3 linked regions of the Drosophila melanogaster genome follow. Changing the gene in region 2 together with the main gene of any one other region gives a genetic interaction. Each region holds a gene or a part of one and is shown on either strand. Other genes may lie near its edges. The genes, in order: Syt1, Galphaq and Plc21C.

Region 1 (7,933 bases), on a different chromosome or scaffold from region 2:
TTGATTTTATGTTAAATGATATTCCAAGTCCGCTATCCATTGTTTGTTCACCTTTTGTTTGCATCTCATTGTTTCCATAAAGCATCTCGTGAGCCAAAGATAACTTAATATGTCACCAAAACCACTTATCCTCTCAGCCAGAAAGAAAGAAAAGCAAACTGTGTGTGTAGAGCAATTTAAAGCCAAAATGACTGGAAAGCGATGCTTCTCCTATGGCTTTTCTCTTGTTTACTTTGCAAATGACGTCAAAGGACATCCATACCCTGAAACACGCTAACACACACCAACGGAAAATGGAAAAGAACTCGGAAAACTCGAAAAAACTCGGCAAGCCGCTTAAATGAAAAGCCTGAAGGCAGCTTTGTTTATTTGGCCCCATAAATATGCTTAAAATTCAAAAGTTGTGGATGCCACGCGGGTGGAAAATTTAGATGCAAACTCTGTGTTTGCTCAACATACAATACAATTTGCATGAATAATGTGCGAAATTAAGTTATGCGGGTTAATTGCCTTCTAGGCAAACGCAATTTGCGATTTAATTCAGTTTTGGGTCGAAAAAGGCATCTTTAAAATCGATAAAATTAAGCTAAACATATTTTTCAAATAAAAAGGCATGCATCATGGCTTAAGTAATGAAAACTAATTATAGAAATATTTCTTATATATAATTTTTACCTGTATAACTTAATCACATACTTATTTGATGTCCATACCTCACAGTTAAACTAGAGCGACTAAATAAAAGTACTGCTGCTGGACTAATATACATACATGTTCTTATCACGAATTTAATGAAATTGTTTACTTTTCACCAATTTTGCATATGAATAATAAACAGCTGTCTCTTTTCTCCGCTTATCGCTTTCTTAAATGAGTTTTTGCCAGCTCATCTCGTATTTCGCGAAGATTAAACTTAAGACAGACAATTTCTCTGTAAATTATTTAAGAGTGCACAATTGATAAACATCATAACTTTAACATGATCAATATAAATTTTAAATGTTGTCCTACTTTTAAATGCACTAACTTATTTTACTTTTTAGAATGAGCGACCACGACTCTTGGCCACTTGAGGACAAAAAGGAAAATTACCGAGAAATAAATAAATTTAAATGCATCTAGGACAAGTTGTGCGGCACAGAAGCTGCCTGGAAATGACTCCTTGAGATGGAGGAAGGGGAAAACCAGTCATGTGGCAGCAAAAAGTGGAAAGCTGGGAGATGTCACGATTTCCGTGTGATTCCCTGACAAATTGCGTTGCAGCCCAGTGGCAGATAAATAAAATGGATAAACAAGGGCTTTCTACCCTCCGAAAGACTCATCCATAATAAATGTGGACGCAACAATCAGAAACACCTAGCTACCGAAAGTTGCCCGGAAAATGGCAATCACCCAAAGGTGGACCACTTTGTTATTCATATTTTATTTATGCACCAAAAAATCTCATGCTGAATTATGTTTCCTGGCATAAGGGGCCGAAAAACCCGCAAGAAAAAGAACTTAACATTAATAGGAACAAGATGTGCAGCTACTGTGATTTCCAGGAAGGCACAAGAAGGTCACAAATATTGTATGCGCCAGTTGCCACACTTTTGTCATTCTGCCAGCATTTCGTGGCACTGTTTTTTTTTTTTTTTTTGCCCACGGGTCAACGGGGCGTATGGGTGTGCTGGTTATTTTGCGGTGCCCACTTGTCTGGGCACCAAGAAGTGGCAGCTAAATAACAAACTACGCAGTTCAAAACGGCTTCGTTTCGTGCTAAAGTGTAAATTATGTTTAGGGCCAAAACAGCTGCTTCCAGTATTTGTTATTGGTAGTAAGACGCTTGAGTGGTCAGTGAGTTCATTGTTGAGCACTCGATTGATGGCAAAACATTTCCAGTAACTGTCAAAAGTGCCATAAACATGAAGGAAGTACTGCTTTTGAAAGCCAGTCTCGGAAAAGTATTATAATTGAAATGAGCAAATAAAGCAAGGTACACTGAAATCTCCTAATAAGTTCCAAAAATCAGCATTCCACTTAACGTTGTAAAATTCAATTACCACTTTTGATGAACTTACTCAATATGAACAGAACTTTCGTGTCGAAGACCCTACTAAATTAATCAAAGCTCAGTTCGGAGCTCCAATTTAGGGACGATAAGAGGAATGTGTGCTTTCCTAGTAATAATTGCTACGATTTGACCTTTGGCGAAGGACCTATAAATAGGCAGCTGTCTGCTGCTTTTTCATAAATTGTGGGCGGTGGTGCAGAAAAAGCTGATAAGGGTGCGTGGGCTGCTGGGTTGGTGGCCCGGTGGGTGGTGCAATGCAGTGACAAAAAGTGGAGCACAGATAACGGCAATTGGCTGGGCATTTTAGATTAGCGCGGGGTTCGCATGGCGATAAGATAAATGGTAAAAGGATACTGCGAGTAAGCAACGAAGAACCCGAGTAAAAATAGAGTTTTCTACCGGTCTTACCATCAAGCTGTCAAAACAAATTAACATGGGATGGATTGGACAGGCAGTCATTACCCATTACCGGGTCCAAACAAACCCGCCAGCGAGCAAATGGAGCTCGCAATATGATTCGGGTTCGGATTCGGATCTATGGCAACATCTGTGGAACCCACGCACGTAATACGGGCGAATCGCGTAGAAAATGGCCAGGAGGCTCTCGAAGCTCACGAATGGGGAAACGGTTAAACTTTTTGGCGAGCCGGAGAGTGGAAAACTATGAGAGCGGAAGGATGGAAAAGCGGAAAAGCCACACATGCCCACAGCTCTCTCTCTCTCTCTCTCTTTCTGTTTCTGTTTCTGCTCTCTTTACTGCGCACATAACCCAGAGAAGGCAACAAAATAAAAACTCGGAAAATAGCAAAGGAAATAAAAAAAAAAAGAAATGAACATGAAGGAAAATCCAAGCTAGACGTTGGAGCCCGACATTGCCTCAGGCCAGAAGAATGCCTGGCGGAGAAAACCAATTTTCCACATCATTATGCTTTTCGCTTTCATTGAACAATCCGTCTCGATGTTTTCAAAATCAAATATAGACTCCGTGCAAACAATTCATTCATATTCTCGAATTTCACACAAAAGGATTTTCGGGCGACGCGAAGGGTCAAAATTACGCTGCCGTTCGGGCCAACTTGATTATTGGCAATTATGTGCGGCCTGCCGAGCTTGTTTGCAGCATTTTTATTGCTATGCTTCGGCAATGCCCTTAATAGCCTGCCCTCCGAGGAATTCCAGCCCAACTTCGGGCTGTCCAAAGCTAATTAGCGAAGAGCAGGACTAAATCAGGTTTAGTTCTTATTAGACGAAGATAAGAAAGGACACGATGAACAAGTGATGTGTGGCACTGGGCAGAGAATTTGGCAGTCTGGCAATTAATCAAGTTAATAAACCCAAAGTATTTCAGACCTTTTGGGTTTAATTGGTAAAGGAAATTCCTGCAAATTTTTGTGAATCTATTAATTAACTTGATTATTTAGATATTAATATAATTCAAGATGAATGTTAACCATGGGAAATGTTTGTATCTTAGAATAATAAGCAATCACATTTTCTCTGATAGCTTAGAGATTAGTTTTTCTTTAGCTGCAGCAACCCTTTAGTTATGTATGTTTCTCCATTCACTCTATGGACTGCCCCAAAAAGTGTGCTACGTTCTTGTAAATACCAACACTCACCCCCTAATCAGAAATGCTGCCAATGTTTCTCCTTTCCAATCAGCAATTGGGATCCAGACTAGCGTTAATAGCTCGGTCGTTTTTGGTACTTAATTCGCTTGTTTATCGTCCGCTTTATTAGTTAGGATGATGGGTTTTGAGCAGCGTTTAACGAAGCGTGACTCCTGCGAGGGGAGCGGGGAGGGTCGGCAGCAGTGGCGACTATTTGGCAGGAAGGATATGGTGATGCGGGTCCTGGCGCTTGTCGATGTATGTGTGCTGCTGCTGCTGCCTGATTTATGTTTTTGGTTTTTTGTGACTGGCTTTGGCTAGTGAGGCCGCGGCTCGCTAGTCTCACATGAATTTCGTATACTTTTTTGGATAATTTGTAATAAAATTAATTGAAATTAATTCAATTTATTTAGATTTATTTGCATATATTTTGCAGTACAAAGGATGTCAGCGGAAAGTGAGGAAGAGAGAGAGAGAGAGAGATATAGAGAGAGAGTGAGTGAGAGAGTTGAAGAGATACGCAGCGTATACGTAATAGCAAAATACAATGGTGTGCGTAAATATTGATAGAGCGAACTCGGCTTTGTGTGTGTGTCTGTGTGTTGTGTCTCCTTGCCCAAAAGAGCATGTGTGTGCGTGTTGGTGAGTGGGCAGAGAGAGACAAAAATAGAGAGAGAGAGAGAGAGTGGGAGGTTGGCAAATTCGCTTTTTCCTCGAAGAAAGCAAATTCAGGATAGAGATTTTCTTAGGGCCATTTCTTTCGTCCTTTTCAGGGCCTCTTTTGGCTTGAATTGAGCTTTCCTTTTTTCTCTCGCACTCAGACACTTCAAGTTGATAGTTAAAAATCTCATTTCAATTTTAATTTTTTATTATTTAATTATAGGGCGTTGAAGGACTGCGGATTCGGATTTTCCGAATTCACATTGATATGCTTTTTAATCCTGGCTTTCGACTGGCCTACAGCACCACAATAGTCGGGTGGGAAAAATCAATATCCCCGCAAGTGGCTCACATGCGTTTTCACTTTCAATGATAGCCCATTTTTCAGCGCTTCTTTCATCTTCGCATTGCACATTGGAATTTTCAATTAAAATTTTCTTGCTTAGCTGCCATTTTTTCTCGACATTTGCTGCGAAAAATTCTGATACACAAAAAATGTTCTCCTTTTTTGTCAGCGCGTGCTAAACACTCGCACACACACAGTCGCATACACGCACCCACACCACACACACATACACACGCGCACTATACATTTCGGGGCTTTCGATGGCCTTTTCATTTATATAACAAATTGGAAAACACTTTCAACACTTTTGCTTTGCTTTCAACCAATTCTGTTTAATTTTCATAATTTTTTCATCACATTTTTGAATGATTTTCCATGGGCATTGCCACTTTTTATGAGCCTCTAGAATTTTTCTTTCCCATTCACCTTCAGCCTAGCGCTTTGTACTTCAGCAGTCAACTTCCACGGTCGATGTTCATTCGCGTTTTGGCCCACACGCTCCAGGAGCAGCGCTGAAAAGCTTGGGCCACTCGCCAAAACGCGAGAGCGAACCGGTTGGGGCATCGATTTTGGCCGCTCGGCCAGCGGGTGAGCGGGGCGGTGTCCACCGTGGGGGGAGCTTTTGGGCAGCGGAAATCTCGGAGGGGAAGACTTTAGGCCAGCTGGACATGGCTGAGCCCCTACGTCTGTATGATATGCAAAGGAGGATAATCATAAAATAGGCACTACCATAAAATGCATCCTTCATAAGTAAGAGTTGAATAACTACTACAGTATCTCATGTCTAGTACCTTTACATACATATTTTCAAAAATCCCTACTATATCTCTCTCTAGATTTTCCCAAAGGAGGTAAACATCTGACTGGGAATCACATGTAAAGTTGAAAGCTCCTTCAGAACCTGTTCGCAGTATGTTTTTTGGTGCATGCGTACTGGGGCGGAAGTGTCTCAATGGCACACAATGTTGCCATTTGCTGTAGAGCAAAGCTTTTCTGTGCCAAGTTTCACTTTCCGTACTATTTTTCCTTCGCCTATGAAAGCTGAGATTTGCCATGTAAATGGCGGCACTGTATCGTATATTTCACAAAAAATCAAAACAAATTACTTATCTAACGATAAGCCAAAATAGTATGACTGTGAAATTAAATCTTTTTCAATAGATCCGATCCATCCAGGCAATTTATTTGGTTTTGGAAATGCATTATTAAAAGGTCGTGCCTACTTTTGGGCTGACAAGTCCATCTTAATGACATGTCAGCACAATAATTATGAAATATAATTTAATTAATACTTTGTCACAAAAATAGTTTATAATCGTGATTTCCCCCTAGAGAGTAGCTGAGTTTTTACATGCAATGAGGATATATTTTTAAATGTTTTGAATAAATATACTATAGGAATACAAATACATAGTAAGTTACTATTAGTAACCTAAAATCAAAGCAGATACGATCTTAAATCATACTTCTTTGAACAGAAATACTTATCGACTTGCTTTCCTATGAGTTATGTATTTATATCGGGTGAATCATTAACAATCCTTTACGACGCGCAAATAAATCACGATATTCGATAGTGCTGGTCACCTTCACGCCTCAATCAGGCGGTTGGCCATACTCGGGGTTCGTGATTTCCCATATCGTTTATCTTGGGAACCCTCGCACGGCAATCGGTAATCGCTAGCGAAGAAGTTAATTAAACGGCCAGTCCTCGGGCTCAAATCGATCGAGATCGATCGCGGATGATTGATGATTGAAGCGAAGAGCGGAATGTAAACACGCACTCGCTTACGCACTTATCACTATCAGTTATCAGTGGGAAGTGGACAGGGAGCAGCAGCTCTTGGTCGGTGGTCACTTGAACTTGCTCCCAAATGGCGATAAGCGAGGCGGCACGCGCTCGATCCGATTTGGCCGTGGGGCAATTGCATTATTGGGGTTGCTGTGTCATCGAGACTAATCGATTTGAATTGGGGCAATTGGCATGATTGCTTTGGTTTGGTTTGGGGCAACTTTGATGAGGTAATGCGAAGTTTCCCACCCCCAAAAAATAGTGTTCTTTCCGCCTGCATCACCCGATTAGACTCGCAATCAGCGAATGTTTGGTTTTTTCCTATGTTATGTTTCTGATTCCGTGTGGTATCAATCGTTTTGGTGGTCGAGGTTATGGCAAGGCTACACGTGCCACCTATAATGGCCATTGGTTTTATTTGCTTTGCATATGTGGTTTATTCGGCACTTGCACCTTATCAAGTGCTTATACTCACAATCCAGATGTGCAATAGGCACAACTGAAGTTCTCACTTCTTCTAATCTACATGAAATAGCTGATAATTTCACCAGGTTTAGACTTTGTCTTCGCTGTATGAATACATGAATCACGTAGATTGCGTTCGAATTCTTGGCAAATATATTTGGATTCCAACGTGTGCGACAAAGGTCGATTGGTTAATGCCTAATGAGCTTATCTGCCACAGAAACCATTGACAAATTAATTATCATTAATGCTGTGTAATTGGTTTTTTTATCAGTTTAAATCACAAAATTTGTCAAGGCTTCTTAGTTACTTATGAATATGTACCAATAGCGTCATCATATCATTCTAATTGTAAACTAAACAAAGCGCACCCGAATAATCTTTCCGTTTTCCAAGTAAGCACTAATTCTTATACAATCTAGATATACCATTCATTAGCACCTGTCCCGCAAACTTTGGGCATGTGGTACGGATTGGCTCGAGTGTCACTCGGGGGCCATAAAAACTGACCACATCAATTCGAAAATAAGTGGAAATGAAACGCTATATTCGTGGATGCTAATTTTAGATCGGGTCGCTTCGCCACACTAGTCGGCGATAAAGAGCGTTGTGCTATTTTCAACAAATGCAAAAAGAGGTGACAACAAAGGCAACTTGACGTCGTCGTCGTCATCGTCATCATCGTCATCTGGCGGAGGAGCAACGTCACGGGTTGGCGCGTTCATCATCTCGAGCGGTTGGGAACTCGAAATTCCGGCAGACACGAGGTGCATGCGTGGACGCCTTGGCACTCGGACGCCTTGGCTAATTGCTTTGGGTGCAGCCCAGATGATTGAGTGAATTGAGTGAGACGATTCGATAAAATAAGATTCGAATTTGGTTCACACACGACTGGCGCATGACTCGTAAGTGGACTTTGGTCCCACCAAAAGATATTCACTTGCGCGGCTCAGTTTCGATCTGCGCCCGATCTCGTCTAGCCTGTCTGTCTGGATGGATGGTTGGAT
Region 2 (7,933 bases):
TATGCAAATGTAAATGTTTTTCACACAAAAGTTTACCTTTTGACCAGTCCTTTTTAGGCTGAAAACTAAAATCACATCCACACACAATTTCTGACCAAACACAGAACTGGCAGCAAACTTACCTGTAGCACACGTGAAATGAGAATAGATAATTTTTTCGGAATCTGGATTTAAATCTACAAACATTCGCAGTATAAACTCTCGGGCCGTTATTGCATCTCGCTGAGGACCTGTTTCGATAAGAAGGCGAATATGAAGTTACGTCTAGCGTGGTTCTACGAAAACTAGCAAATAATCTACGGATGATATTGGCGATTTAAGGCAATTACATAGATCTTAAGTACATAAGGTGAAAATCCACCTGTGGCCGTTGTGAAATGCGAATAGCATTGACGTTCGGGATCTGGATTGCAGGCCAAGTACTTTTTCAGAACGAACTGTTTGGCCGCAGCGTGATCCTGTTTTGGACCTGGTTCATTGCCGCATAAAATCGTACATAATTATGGCCACCTTTATCATGCGGAACACTTACCATCGTATTCAGGAAAATAGTCTACCAAATGCGAATACATTATTTTCTCTTCCAACAAGTCCTTCTTATTCAGGAAAAGAATAACTGACGAATTTTGAAACCAAGGGTATGTAATTATAGTACGAAATAAAGCTTTAGATTCCTCCATTCGATTCTGTGAAAGCGTACAGGTGATTATTTGTTTAAAAAAAATATATTCATAACTTGAAATCATACCTCATTATCAGATTCAAACAAGATTTGATCGTACTCCGATAGCGCTACCAAAAATATAATTGATGTCACATTCTCAAAGCAATGAATCCACTTTCTTCTCTCGGATCGCTGACCACCGACGTCTACCATTCTGTTTATTAAGAAAAATATATTATTGTAAGAAAAGTTAACCAACAAATTAACTACATATAAGGCCAAACATACAAGCATTTAATTCTAGAGCGCAAGCAACGAATCTATTAGTAACTAAATTGTAAGAAATCGTCTTCACTAGCTTTACAATGACCATTTACATTACTAGCCTTGCCGGTAATTACCAATTGATATTTTTAATAGATACCTAAACACAATGCCATCCAAATCGAATGGATACTCAAGAATGCCAGTTGTCGGCACTCGAGCACGCAGAATATCCTGCTCGGTTGGCAAGTAATCAGCCTGTTCAATTCGAGCTAGATCGCTCAAGTAGCTAAATTAGATAAATTAATACACTTTTAAAACAATGAACGGAACCAAAAGCAGTGGCAAAAATAGTTTTGCAACCCGTCTCAGTCCATCAATTTCGCTGAAGGCCCTAACTAAGTCCCTGAATTGTTTGCTTGAAGAGACATGCGCTAAAGAAATTCTTAAGTGTGTAGTTACAAAGTACAAAATAAATTTTAACCATAACCAAACAAGAGGTCATGCACATGCAACGAAGTAAGGGTAGAAAGATGGTATGTACCTAAATCTGATTTCTTCTAAATCAAAGGGATACTCAATTATCCCTGTTGTGGGCACACGAACTCTTAAAATGTCTTGCTCAGTGGGTAAATATGCAGGTTGAGCCACACGATCGAGATCCTTCAGATAACTATACATAGACAAGATAATTGATTTAGTTTGCATAGTCGTTTCGGTAGTTTCAGTCTCTTCAGTTCGTTTTTCGGTCATTTTGCGGACGGATTTAAACCGTTCCCTTTGCATGCCAACGGTTAACTTACTATTTGGCTGAATCAGTCAGCTGATATTCCCTACGACGATCATAGCACTCCTGGATGCCAGCATCGTCCCAAAGCGTTTTGATGGCATTCAAGTATGGATCCTCGAACGTGGTAACGGTCTCATAATCGATGCTCATCACCAGATCGGCCAGTTCCTGTGGATCGTAAGATGTTGTTTAAGATTCAGTGACTTCAATTAGATCAATGTTTCACTTACACTATGCTCTCCCTGGCCGTAGGAAATCTTCAGCATATCCATGGCCTTGATCATTGACTGCATGGCCATGAATATGTTCTGAAAAACCAGCTTGATGTACCCACGCTTGTCCTCGTCCGAGTAACCGCTGCCGTGGATAATACGCATCTGTTTGATGAATGTGGACTTCCCGGACTCGCCAGTGCCTGGGGATATAGGATTGGAAAATATATATAGCCATAAGCGGCGGGCAAACAATGCAATTAGCGAGGCGGCTTCAATTGCATTAAGCCAGGCTAAGTGCAATCGAAATGGGCCATGCTCCACTTACCCAGTAGTAGCAGTTTAAGCTCGCGGCGCGCATCTCTCTTGTCCCGGCGCAACTGCTTCTCGATTTCCTGATTGATGCGCTTTTGTTCCTTGGCCTCCTCCGATAAACAGCACTCCATGCTAACTAGATTTATAGACGCTTTCGCGTGCTGCTGCCACTACGCTCGACAGACCGTTCCGTATATAAAATGTATGCTGTTTGGATGGTGGGATGGTCTCCTGGACTCCCTTCTCTGGACCCTCGGACACCTAGCTAATTGGTTGTATGGCGGGCGTTGAATTCACCCGTTCCAAGTTATAGATTCTGTTGTAGTTTCGATTGGTGCATTTGTACTTCGGCTTTGCTCGCTCTGCAGACCTCCTCCAGCGCTTACGATCCAGGCTCTCTTTGGCTATTGCTATTGCTAATTACGGGTCTACGCTAAGTTCTTGACCAGATTTCGGTGACTCGGAGGCTGAGAGTGATGGTTACTAATGAACAAAGACCACATCGAACGATCCAAGAACATCTGCAAGGAGACAAAGCTTTGATTTAGTGCTTGCATAACCGAACTGTAGGATCTATCCAACTATTGCTGCTACGGACCACCACAGTTGTTGGCCCAACGAGAGTTCGCCGCGTTGTGTCCCGTGCTGACAATTAACATTTCATATTTGCTAGCCTGCCCCACTAGCTGGCGACGTCGATGACGACGTCGGATATAGATTGCCCATGGCTACCCATGACTACCCCGGGACTTCCTCTGACCATGGCATTGGCTTTGGTTCTAAGTTCTGGGCCTGCTCTCTCTGCGCAGACCTGGGATCGCCCTCTACCAGGTGGCAATAGATTGAGGAAGCGTTCCCCACAATGCCCCTCAGCCAAGTTCAATGCAAGAAAGCTGATTTTGGAAAATATATGGCTTCGCTGGCCACAAGTTAGCGAGAGTGTTCTCCTATTGGGTGGACCAAGCAGTCTATGGATAAGAAGAATTGGCATATCATTCTAATTCGGAAATAAAAAAGTCACATACCGAAACTTATGATGCAAAAACACAGCTCTATACACAAAACTGGAATATCATTGCATAAACTTTAAAACTCTTAATGTACTTTTATCGTTAAAAGATATGAGTCCACCCGAATCCGCGGTTCATTCATGGGTTCAGCATAGGGCATGCCTATAGAATATAGCCTATAACCACTGGTGCTATTTCCTCTCTTTTCCAACCCCTAGTTTATATATCGAGTGATGGCTAATCCAATTTCGTTTGGCGAACACATTGACATGGGTCGAGGTAAGGCTTTCAGCATGACCACTACCAAATATCGATGGAATACCTAGCAATAATTTTGACAAAAGTCTGACCAGGAGAATTTGGCGGGCTCAGGTGGGCGAATATGGAGATCTGGATAATGATGGCTAGACGCATAGTATTCGGGAGGATTAGTGGGCTGCACTCGGAACACATTGCTCGCTGAGCAAAGCCACAAAATCGAATTAGCAGTGGCAGCAAAATTCAGGGGCAGGGGCACGCAATTGGCGCAATGAAGCGTTTTTTAACAATAGTTTGCCAGATATATCATGCCACCAAATCAGAGGGAGATTTACCTACCGCGAACTGGTCTTATCTGCCTTACATATTGTATATGCTGATGATAAACCACTCTGAGATAACGTTTGATTTGACTTCTTAATCTTTAGACGACTACTGCTCTTCTGAAAATCACTGTTCTAATGCAACCCATTTCCGAAAAACCATTTCTAAGCCGGAAATAGCTTCACGTTACTCATGCAGTTCCTTATCGCATCCTCAGCCTATTTTTGCTGGAGAATTTATGAGCTCATATTTTAGATACAAAAGTACCCTTTCATTATGATGAAAGCATGGCTTTTACACAAAATAAATATATTCGAATGGATTTGAATAAGATGGATGACAATCCATTAAACTCGCCTGGAGAATAATTCGATTTTTGGATTATAATATATTTCGGCCAGTTTTTAGTGGCAACCAACAAGTGGTCGGAGTCAAAAATTAACCACGAAATTACGATTCTTGTATTCAATGAGCATTCAGTATTACTTACTTAACATTACGGAGACACGGGACTAAAGGTATTCAGACGAGATTCTCCAAAAAGATGTTCCGGTTATCGTCTCGATTTGTTTTAGCTACCACTATGTTATACAAAAAATATTGAATTTCGGGTTTTAGTACGCCGATTGAAGTTCTTCCGGATTGATCGTGTTCTTTTAATTTTTGTTTTTGGTTCCCTGCCGATGTTCGGTCTGTTTTAAATATTTTTAGTTTAATCACGCGATTTGCTTTGCGGTGCGTTGGTTGGTCTTACGTTTTTTAGTTAGCTTAAACTAATTTCAAAAGCATTTCGTTTTTAGTTGGTTTGCGGTTTGGAAAACATTTGTTTTTAAGGAACGTGTGTAGTTGGTTATATATTTTTTACTGGTGCTTTTTAATATAAAAGTTACGATAACGTCTGTTCGGCTTCCTTTTAATGTAAATGTGTGATACGATACTATTTATATATGTAGATATATATCTATATATAATTTTCCCTTTTTGCTTCTAGTTTTCGGTGTGTATGAGTGCTGTTGTTGTTGTTGTTCTTGGTTTTTAACGTTTCTTCTTGTTGTTGTTGTTTTTAAACACCAGTCTGTAAATGCAACGAAGTTTCAACAAATATTCATTGTAGTGTAATTGAAACGGAAAAGTATGTACGACGACAACGACGACGACGAGCGGTCTTCAAATTGATTTCACACGAAACACTTAGTGGCTCCTTTTGTATTTAATTTTCTGCATATTTTATGCTTCTTGTATTTGTTTATTTTTCTGTATGCAGTGGAACTGCAAGTAAAGAAGAGAGACAGAGAGATAAGGAGAAGAACGATGGGGGGGGGGGGTGGTATTATGGGTGGTAAGGTGGGAATATGCATTCCGGAAAATCATCATCATACTGGCTAAGGTAAACACACACGACCCTCAGCTACCATTTTTTTTTTCATTTTTTGGTTAGCCCACCCGTTTTAAGCCCAAAAATATGCACAATCCACTATGTAGTTACGCGACCCCAACTAACTTCTCGCTGGCATGCACCGTTTAGTGGCAAAAGAAAACCACATTGAGTTAAACAAACTATTTCTTTTTTAAATTTCTCAACTTTTTTCCTATTCGCAGTGTTTTTCTCGGGCAAGCAGTGCGACTTGCTGCGCACTGCTTTACGAACGAATACACACAAATATAAGCGAGGGCGTTAACGAAACGAAAAAATTTTGATAGCAATGCGATTCGAAGATTTCGCGATTCGATTCGCCGTTTGTTTAACAATTATGGGGGGGCCTTGCTTAATGGCCAGCACTGTTTGGCGAAAAAATACACTTTACACTGGCATTTCGGGGAACGTTTTCGGTGCTGCTAAATTTTTTTTTTGTCGAGGGGGGGACTTTTTCGGGTGGCTGCCAGGCGGCTGCGGATGGCGACCGCTGGCTGGCGGGGAGTCCGTTTGACGGGGATCTTGCTCGAAACTCACAACATATTCGATTTGGCATCGCTCGCTACTCACAACATATTTAATTTTGCATTTTTCGCTAACGTTGACGCACGACCCGACTTTCGATAGCAGGAGGCGTTATTTGTCCGAACCTATCGGCCCTATCGTTCGTCGATATCGATGGTCAAACCAATCGGACGGCATTTGAACTAGTGGTGGCAAGATATCGATGATGGAATAGATGCTCTTAAATCAAAGTCTTCATTGTATTACATAAGGAAGGAGTTTTATTTGCCGCATAATAACTAATAGAAGTGGTTTATAACAAATAAAAACGGATTTCCTGGCAGTTCAGCTTAATTTGAAAATATATTACTTTTGGTATTTTTTAGTTGCCACCCCCACCACAACACATGTCGGTGTTGCCATACGGATTTCTATTCATGTGTGTCAATACACATTCTTAGCAATAAGGTTGGCAACGCCTTACATCCTTCAAATAAGGATGGCAACGCCAGACATCCTTAAAAATAAGGATGGCAGTGCGCCATATTCTCATAATTCAGGATGGCAATGCCTGATAGCTTTAGGAAAGACTGAAAATGTTGTGTCCTTTTCACTCTCTAACAACAGGGAATACACTTACCATGCACTTCCATATTCGTTAAGCTGTGACCCGAACCAATGACTATGATCGTAAATTTTAAATAACTAAATATATGTGTGTATAATTACCATTTAGAACATAAAAAATGCGAATATCGTAAAACGCCGGTCAATCGTCAAATTTACAAGCACTTTCTATCTTCGAAATCAGAAGACATTGCCCGCCAAATCAAAAGACTTGTATTATTTAATCTATGTTTTATTGGCTTTCTGTAAATTATTATCATTTGTTCAATATGTTCATGCGATAAATAAGTGTTTAAATTAATTAAATAAAATTAAAATAATAACTTTACAGTGTGTGCACAATTTAAACAATTATTTCGGGTTTCGTGTGATTTACAATCGAGTTAAATAAAATAAAAACATCGAATCGATCGGTTAGTGACTATTGGATTGTGTTCGCGTTATAAAGCTGTAGCTAGTTCGAGTCTCTCAAACGAAAAATTAAAAACCAAAGTACAAATTAAAGATACACGTAATCGCTAAACGTTAATGTTGTTACTTGAAACAATTTCCAAAACTTCGGGGACCACAGAGGAATTACATCTGGCCTTTTTGCATCGCCCCAAAAATACATTCAATTGACTATAAAAAACTCGTACTACATATTTGCAAAATTCACAAAATACAAAAGGTTCAGGCTGGCTATCTCCTCCGACTTTTGATTTGTTTAACAATTACTCTAGCTCTCGAGTGATATGTTTTACATTTGTGGTTTGCCATTAACAAATTACAAATTAGATACGTTTTGTTCGCATTAATTATGAGCACAATAATAGGATTAACAAATAATATATGTATACGTAGGTTTATGCTTTAGGTTTTCTTGAAACTTAGAACTAAAAAATAATGTTTGAAACATTTTCAAAATATTCTCTCTCTCATTCCTCATCTGTGTGTTCGTTCTTCTTTGTGTTAACAATAACAATTTTATGGTTGGAAGCACTGCCCTAACGAACAATCGCTATAAATGGATTGCCAGTTACCGAATACATTTCACAAAACAAGAATTTATTAATTGGACAAAAGCAAAAGCAGCGCTCACAAAGAAAATTTGGCCAAAAGTTTGTATTTGGATTTGGACCTCCGTTCGTAAAGATTTTTATGGTTGATCTGAAGTTGCTGATGGTTCGTTGCTAGCCCAGTTGTTCCCCAGTTTGTCGCTTCAGATGGGACGCGTGAAGTTGGCGGGGAAGAGTCCCTTCTCGTTGGTGCCCTCCTTCTGACCCATCAGCCAGCCTTCCTCCTGTAAATTGGCAATAAAGAACTGAACTCAATATAGACAGGAAGTGCTGAGATCTGCATTTGGCGCGGAGGGGGAAACTAGCGCGTGCAAAGCTCAAAGGAATGTGTATCTCCGGATTCCGAAGTTATACCCTTGCAAATGATAGAATCTAACAAGTTTAGCTTACTTAAATTGATGGAATTTTATGGAAATGAGGACAGACAATCCCATTAACATTGAAAGTAGCTTGAAGTTATATAATTACATCATCTGCAAAGGGTAAGCCAACC
Region 3 (7,933 bases), on a different chromosome or scaffold from region 2:
GAATATTGCAATTTTACCTATTCCGTAAAAGGAAATAATTCTCCACGAAAAAATGGATTTGATTTTTGGAGCGTTGCGGAATTGATTTCCCCCCAAATTGCTTGGCGCCAAAAGAAAAATTTCTTTGCGGGACTTTCTCTTATTTTCCTACCACGTTTTCCTTACCATTTTCCTTATTCGAACAGAAAATTCATCACTCAGAGTGGAGATGAGGGTTCGCTGGGTGTAAGTCAACAACTTGCCGGCCCTTGGGTGCTCAGCAGTCGCTCATGCTCATATCGGTAGCATAAAGTACACAAATAAATAAAAATATAAAGCGTTGGGCAGGGGTGTAGAATGGAAAATCAACGGGGGTGTGGTTAAGCAAAAGAAAAACAAAATTAAGTTCAATGACACCCCAAAACAACAGCTCCCGGCCGTAAATTCGAGTTACAATTTGTTTCTGGTTGTTCTTGCTGGCAACCTTCATCAACGAATTTTCCTCGGGATCCTTGAAAACCCCCCAAAATACCCCTTCAGCTGAGTGGGTATGGGGGCGCCTCCAATTGGAAAACTTTTGTTACACTTTGTTTTTGGGTTTTTTTTTTAAGGAAAACTTGCGAAAAGTAACCGTTCGGGAGCAATTTATAATTCCAATATTTCTTCATCGATTTGATTGTGTTCTAGAATTAGTTACCCAAGCCCAATGGATAATGCCCTACGATAGGCGAATTGTGAAAATATTGACAAAACAATTGTTTTCAATTGCACGCGAGGTAATCTTCATTCCCACCTCACTTTTGGGCACCCCTATTCGTTGGCCTGTGGCAGTTGTTTGTCTAAATTTTCTATTTATATCGCCGTCGATGAGTTCAATGTTTGATTGGCCTCCGTTGAAATGTAAAATCAACCTGGGCTAAGGACGCTTTTCTGAGGGCACGTGAAAATACGGAAGTTCAGACCCCAAAGCATACTTTTAGGCACATAGGGAATCGAGTTTTTTAAGCTTCGTTCGAAGCTCACTCCTAATTCTAGTATAACATCAGGATAACTCAGTTGGTAGCCCAACATTAGGGCACGTATGTTATCTGCCATTATCATGATGGATTGCTTCTACATAAAATTCACTGATGTTTTTCGTTTCATTACCATACTATCATCACCACCCGAACAACCGGCAGATCCGCCATAAATCGTCTGCCACTGCCACGGATTCCGATTACAGCTAATTGCTCGACTATCTGCGCGTCGGATAACCAAAATAAACACATTAATTGCTTAAGTTATGTGCATTCGGCTGGTAATTTGTTTGTTAGGCACTTCAATTATTCGATATGTATCCTTCTTCTCTTTTCTGCGGGTCTATAACTTTAATGTCAAACCATCGCTTTGATTGCGGCAAGGTTGGTCAGTCAATTTACGACAGCTTTCCACGTCAACTGTGGTCATGCATAATCAAGAATAGGCGACAGAAGCGGGAAGGTGGGATTTTACATAAAGCCACCGCAAACAAAATGAATTTGTGACAGAAAATGATAATTATTAATTAAAACCGCGTTTCAGTGTCACCGCAAACAAACTCCAATATATTCTAACACACCCGAAACACGTTTGCGCGCACAAATTTAGTTCTATTTTGTTTGTACGCCAAGAATTAAAATTCGGTATAGCATAAAACGAATTTGTGATACTCTTTCCAACAAGCACTCTCAAAACACAACGATTAGCGTAACACTTTATCTATTTGAAGAGAAATGTTGATGCTGAAAGTAAGTAAATTCGATAAACGAAATACAATTAGAATCCGGGTGAGCTTATCGCATAAGAACGAATACTTAATTTCTGAGTAACGTTTTCACTTAGTCTATTGTTTTAAATTTAACACTTCCGTATATGTCTGCTTCTCTTTTCCATTTTTATCGCCCTTTTATCTAGTTTGTCAACGTTATCAGTCTGGGGACAGAGCAGTATCAGCAGAAGCAGAGAGAGAGCAGGAGTAGGAACCCCCCACACACACCACACCCCCACCCATGTCGACCGGATTGTCCGACGTATTAGATTTGACGCTTCATTATAATGATAGATCGCTGTGCAATGGTCTATCACCAGGAGCAACCAAATGGGTGCCACACAGCGAGAAAGTCGCGCTCCAACATTGTTGGTCAGGTTAAGTTACATGGATTTAACAACAGGTTCGTTTTAAGATACACAAGCCTGGACTCAAATGGAAATGTATACACTGTATACACCTAGAGCAATACTACGTACATTTATAGGACTAGGGAAATCATTTATTCACCTTTTTGTATTAGGTTTGCATATTCAAAAAAGTTCCATACTTTACATATCCTTAAAACCACTATATGCGTTTTTCAGAAGAAAGGGATACAGAACTATTTTGACAATCGAGGTCTTGCCAGTATGCAAACAACCTTTTTCCAGTGTACGTCCATACGTACGATAGTTGTTTAATTTTCCCAGTGACCTACGTTGCGTATGCGCGACTTTTATTCAGTTTTGTATTCTCGCGTTGGCGGCTGCTAAATAATTAATGAGCAGCCTCAAGTGGTGAATCGGATGAGGCGGGTAGAGAATGAAGATAGAATGGAAAATGGAAAACCGAGTGGAAGTGAAGCAGGAGCAGAGGCATGGCCATGTCAGCATAATTAGCCAAACACTCACCCACGCAGACTAATTGTCCTTTCTGGCGCTTGTGTCCTTTAATGCCTTAATTGTGTTTGAATGATTGAAACTAGCTGCCTTTGAAATGGAGGCCGAGGGAGACAAAGGGGCGTGGTGCAGCAATCAAGTGGGATAATTGCATATCAGTGGTGCAGCTGATGCCTCAACTTGATAAATGCCTCGAGTGGCAACTGAAACAGGACCTAACTGAACACACAAGTGGATGCTGCAAAATGGAAGCGGAATAGCAAGAAGGCGAAGACACAGAGAGCTGGCAACTTAAAGCGTTTCGCTAATTGGCACCAGGAGCTGATGTGATATCTGATGCGCTACTCATTAGCTTTTTGCAGCTTCCCGCTTCGAATTCATCGCACAGATTGGCCATAACCTGATAACAAGCTCGAATCGGGGTTCTCCAACGATTCCCCTTTCAATTGGGCGACGAGGCGCTCCAAAATTGAATGGTTGCTAATTGCTAATAAAATTGACTTTTTCAGTATAGATGAATGTTATACCTTTTAGGTTACACTATGGTATGGTATTTCTTACTTATAACATAAAACTGTGAAGAACCTATATCCACCTCTGACTGGCCAATACCCATTGCAATAACTGGTTTGGTTTTTTTTAGTTTTCCAAACGTATTTAATGTCCTAAAGGCCACGTATCGTTGGGAGATCTCAAATCAAAAGCTGGCTTTGCGTGATTCACGAGCCACCCAGTGAAGCGTTATCTGCCCCGTTCTCGGATTTCCAAGCCAGCAGTATCTCAAAGATTTCGAGATACGCGCCACGCCACGCCACGCGCTCGGTACGAGTTCAAGTACAACTGGCAATGGCAAGGCAACAGCGGCAGCGCCGCAAAATCATTGACAAACGCCTTTCGTCCCCGCGACAGATCACTAGCTTGGCTATCGACAGAGATCTTTCAAGTTTTCCAAATCAAAAGCGAAATATTTAAACTTGAAAAGGAACGAGAATGGAAGCGAGGCACAACAAATAATTTGGCGTAGCTCGAATAGAAATCGACCAGTTTGCCTATAACGGCAGACGCACGATGGGGAGAAGGGGGCAACAGCATTTTTCAGCACAATTTTCAATTAGGCAGCCGTGAAAGAAAACGATGCTGAACAAATAAACTGAATGAGATTGTATTTTAATTTAATTTTGTGTGTGCGGTGCTGAACTCGAGAATCGTTTTCCTCCGCCCTCAAAACTCAACTCCCTGATAAATCCGCAGAGTGAAAAGGTTCTGTTCGGTGCGTTACCTGTGCCAAAGTTTTTGACTTTCAGATGAAAACTTCGTTGAGTGGAATTTGTATTTCGTAAGCAGCGAAATTTCAATTTCAGATTTTGCACCCGCTGGCAAACGAAGATAACCTCTCCGGTGGTAATGGGATTTTTTATTGGATTCGCTCTCCTATTTTAGTTTAGCTATAGTTTTTAACTGTCGGCTTAGTCACAACGCACAGATACGGAGAAACACACACGCACTCGGCTGCTGCAGATACGGATACGGATTCTGGGGACCCGGAGAGGGTTCCTCCGGAGAAAATCTCGGGCGGGTTTTCGGGCCAAAATCTTCCGCTAATACGACCGAACGCTTCGGCGAACGACGAATGTCTGTTGGGAAAATCTATGTGGAAATCTCAATGCTGCTGAAATGCAAAAACGAGAGAGCTGAAGCTTCTCAGTCTCGCACATTTCGCCGCGAGCTTTTACCATGTTACACACTTCTCTGGCATTTTCTCGGTTTCTCCCTGAGAACCTCTCTCTGTTTGAGAAGCTTTCTCTCTGCGTTGCCAGGTTTTGTTTTTGTTTTGGGAAAAGCGTTTGCGGCGAAATGTTCATGTTTTGATAACGGGAGAACGGTCCCCCCCCTGTGGGAACCCTCCTTTTAGAGGTTGCAAGGTGCGAGGGGTGGGGTTATGTCAAGCGGGGAATAATTTTCAAATAAACAAGCCAGTCCGGCAACAATGAGGCTTGAACCGACAATGCCAGGCAAACGCAAACCCCCTTGGCGAACCAGAATTGATAATAGTTGCTGAATAGTTTGGCAAAACCTTCGGTGGAACTCGGGGAACGGAATGTTTACTTGGACAGCGCCGTCACATCGCATCGCCTAATCAGCGGTTGAAACGGCCAGAAAATCAAATTAAAATTGCCAATTTGGGCGTTGTTGAGTGGGCCTCGCCTCGCCTCGATTTGAATTTGAATTTGAGTTTTGGTTTTGTCTGCCGCTACCCATTGCAGCCGGGAATATATATATATATTTATTTAATTTTAATGCCCCGACATACGCCGTACGTGAGTACAGCGTCAAATCGTCCGGTCTCGGAACGCGCGCATGTGCCACAAAAAAATAGAGGAACAAAAACCGTCGAGAAGAGGAAGCCCAGATATATGGGTTCTGACTGTTCCAATACCCTCGCTCAACGAGTGCTCTACATCGCATAACGTGATGTTCCGCCCATGTTTCGACTTTGTTCATGCATCACAATGCCTGTGACTTAGTTAGGTAAGAACTTTTTTATGCCCAAGCGTAGGAAAACCTTTTGTGACATAACAAAAATGTAAAAAATAGATCATTAAATTCATACGTAGTCTGCGAATTAAAAGAGATTCTACACCTATATCCCCCGACTGACGGATGCTATAGGGTATGAAAATACGAAAATATTAACGCGAAATAGGAAATCAGAGATCGGCCAAAAAGTCGGAAAATATGTCAGCGCCGAGGGGCAGCGGGAAAGATGACATCCAATATGCGGGAAAACATTGAAGACCTGACCCACATATTTCGTTGGTGGTTCTCCTCAGTTTCCTTCCACCCTTTCCACGACTTCTGCTTTTGCCCTCCAAAAAGTGATTGACAAGGTGAGACAAATTCTTCTGCATCTGTATCTGTATCTGTCTCCGTCTCCGTATCCGTGTATTGGGACTCCACAGCGGCGACAGTTGCAAGATGCTCCCCCTCCCCCTCCACCCTCTGTTTTGTACGCTTGATTGATTGCGGCTCGGCGTCCCCAAGGTCACTAGGTGGACTACAAAAGATATGCAAATATTGGGTGCCGAACGAAAGCTGCGGGCGTGACTCACGACCACCCATCGGGGTCACCAAACATCCCCCATCCCAGTGGGGAACGAGCTCGGCCATAGGATCGACAAGCAGTCATAAACTCGAACTACTTATGGCAACTAGCAATTCTCATTGCATATTTATTCGGCTATAAAATGCGAAAGAGCAGCCGCACATGGGATCACATGGCATTCCATACCAAGCGATCCCTAGATCCCCAACTAAATAAATTTCAAAATTGTTTATTTTCTTCCAAACAAATCAGCGTGCATTAAAAACAGCGAACAGAAAATTTGAAATCCAAATAAAACATTAACATCCGGTGGGAATCGAGCGGTCCCAACTCACGCCGCCTTTCCTCACGTTGCGCCCACTGTGAGTGGGTGGTGCTGCTGGCATTGTTGTTGTGGGTGGTGGTGCTGCTTTGAAGTGGGGATTTACAGGTGTTTTATCTGCCAGTCTGTTTGTTTACAAAGGTCATGAGTTCCCAGACGAATGTAACTAAATTAAACTTTTCGGAAAGCCAAGCCACAATAAACACGGCAGCTCTTTTAAGGCACATCATAACGAAAAACTAAGAAGTTTTCCAGAACGGGGATTCCCCTCCGGATAACCACATTAAAGACCAACTTATAATGGATAACTTTACCAGTACAGTGTGACCCATATCATAAACGAACCGCAAGACCGTAATTTTTTTATTCATGTTCCACTTACATACTTCAGAATTTGCATAGGGCCGGGAATTTGAAAACAAATAACATACATAATGGTATTTTCATGATAATTCCCCATAATCGAGTCTATTTATCAGTCTGGTGGTGTTTCACCTTTCCTTAGGCAATTTAATAATGGAAGACAAGCAACCCAGCGAAGAAAAACAATTGCAAACTGGCAACGAAGGGAAATGAACATTCTACTGATTCGTAATAAAAATATCGGGCAGACTCTGTGTTTGCCAAATGCAACAAACAGAGAAGAACTTTTCAAAAATTCGCACTTGATTTATTTATAAAGCCATGATGACGTCGTCATATCGGATCGAATCGAATCGGGTATAGTCTGGTTATTTTTCGGATCTGTTTGCGAGCACGAGCGTCTCCCCAGAAGAAATTATAAAATAATGCAGGGTGCTCTGGTTTGGGGTTAAGTTGTGGATGCTGGAGAAGGAATTTCCTGCGCTAAAACGTTTAATTTATTAATGAGATTTATTTATAGAGCGTTGAGCGCTCTGCGCTGAGTGGGCAGGTGAAAGGTTGTCGATTGGTGGTGGTGGGTTGGGGTGCGGTGGTATGTTTTCAGCTACGCGTGGCTGAAAAAAGAATGAGCAAGAGGGGGGGGGGGTTTCCAGGGGTTTGGCCCCCACTGCTTTCCCGCTCTCTCCCTCATCACAATGACGCGTGGTTATTGTAATTAAAGTTATGTGCGATATGTGCTGCCACTTTTATACACTTGTATTCACCGCACACTCCCTACCCCTCCTACCACCCTCCCCATCAAGCACAAGTTCCCAAATTTCCTTTCGGCTTTTTAATGGCGCCTGGGTGCGGCACACAAAAATAATTTACAACATGTTTTGCTTGTTCTGTTTTGGTTGTTGTTATTCTTGGAGGGTGAGTGGCGGACGGGGAGGAGTTTGGGGAGTGGGCCAATTGAAGTGGAAGAGGCAGCAAATATACGGCAAGATAATGAGAGCATTATGGTAGAACGACATTATGGAGCATATGGCAAGCCGGGAAAGTATTGTGGTAGGAAACAGAGTCAAATTATTCCATACAACTGCGTATGCAGTTTGAAGCCATGGATGGTAGTAAATCAACAATGTTATTCATGAGACAATTGGATGCATAGTACGTGATTCAACAATAAATAAATAAATAAAATGTAGTTTAATATGCGATAGTTAAGCAAGTGCCTTTATACTCTAAACAAGTATTTATGCCGATTCTCCGCAGAGAACGAAAGAGTTTCAAACTCTGCTCCCGGGCTTATCTCTTGATCTTTTGACCCGCCCCTCCTGCGCTCAAGGCACCTGCGTCTCTCCTAACCCCGCCTAACCCCCGAGCTACTGATAAGATGCACTGATTAGCTCAGCACAGAGGCAATGCAATGAGATCACTCCCCCCGATCGATTAGGACCACTCCGCCCTCCTCCCACTGCCGGCCACCCAGAGCTGACCCCGCCACCCCCCTG

The links.
Region 1: of Galphaq (region 2) and Syt1, changing one suppresses a phenotype caused by changing the other (phenotypic suppression), as found in Drosophila melanogaster (one study listed by BioGRID).
Region 3: of Galphaq (region 2) and Plc21C, changing one enhances a phenotype caused by changing the other (phenotypic enhancement), as found in Drosophila melanogaster (one study listed by BioGRID).

What each region holds. Positions count from the first base shown.
Region 1 is NT_033779.5:2,794,814-2,802,746, forward strand, and holds the start of Syt1 (synaptotagmin 1), read right to left. Parts: upstream 5,167-7,933; 5' UTR 5,096-5,166; intron 4,024-5,095; 5' UTR 3,673-4,023; intron 3,509-3,672; exon of another isoform or gene 3,019-3,508; intron 732-3,018; exon of another isoform or gene 676-731; intron 1-675. UniProt on the Drosophila melanogaster protein: May have a regulatory role in the membrane interactions during trafficking of synaptic vesicles at the active zone of the synapse. It binds acidic phospholipids with a specificity that requires the presence of both an acidic head group and a diacyl backbone.
Region 2 is NT_033778.4:12,610,740-12,618,672, reverse strand, and holds the start of Galphaq (G protein alpha subunit q), read right to left. Parts: upstream 5,934-7,933; 5' UTR 5,827-5,933; coding exon of another isoform or gene 5,822-5,826; exon of another isoform or gene 5,794-5,821; coding exon of another isoform or gene 5,789-5,793; intron 5,107-5,788; coding exon of another isoform or gene 5,016-5,106; exon of another isoform or gene 4,328-5,015; intron 2,887-4,327; exon of another isoform or gene 2,844-2,886; intron 2,767-2,843; 5' UTR 2,377-2,766; coding exon 2,259-2,376; intron 2,134-2,258; coding exon 1,949-2,133; intron 1,887-1,948; coding exon 1,732-1,886; intron 1,602-1,731; coding exon 1,473-1,601; intron 1,218-1,472; coding exon 1,089-1,217; intron 879-1,088; coding exon 749-878; intron 687-748; coding exon 533-686; intron 470-532; coding exon of another isoform or gene 362-469; intron 231-361; coding exon 123-230; intron 1-122. Other genes in the region: CG45086 (uncharacterized protein), read right to left, coding at 5,016-5,106, 5,822-5,826; Amph (amphiphysin), read right to left, coding at 7,584-7,664.
Region 3 is NT_033779.5:306,601-314,533, reverse strand, and holds the start of Plc21C (phospholipase C at 21C), read right to left. Parts: upstream 4,335-7,933; 5' UTR 3,929-4,334; intron 1-3,928. UniProt on the Drosophila melanogaster protein: The production of the second messenger molecules diacylglycerol (DAG) and inositol 1,4,5-trisphosphate (IP3) is mediated by activated phosphatidylinositol-specific phospholipase C enzymes.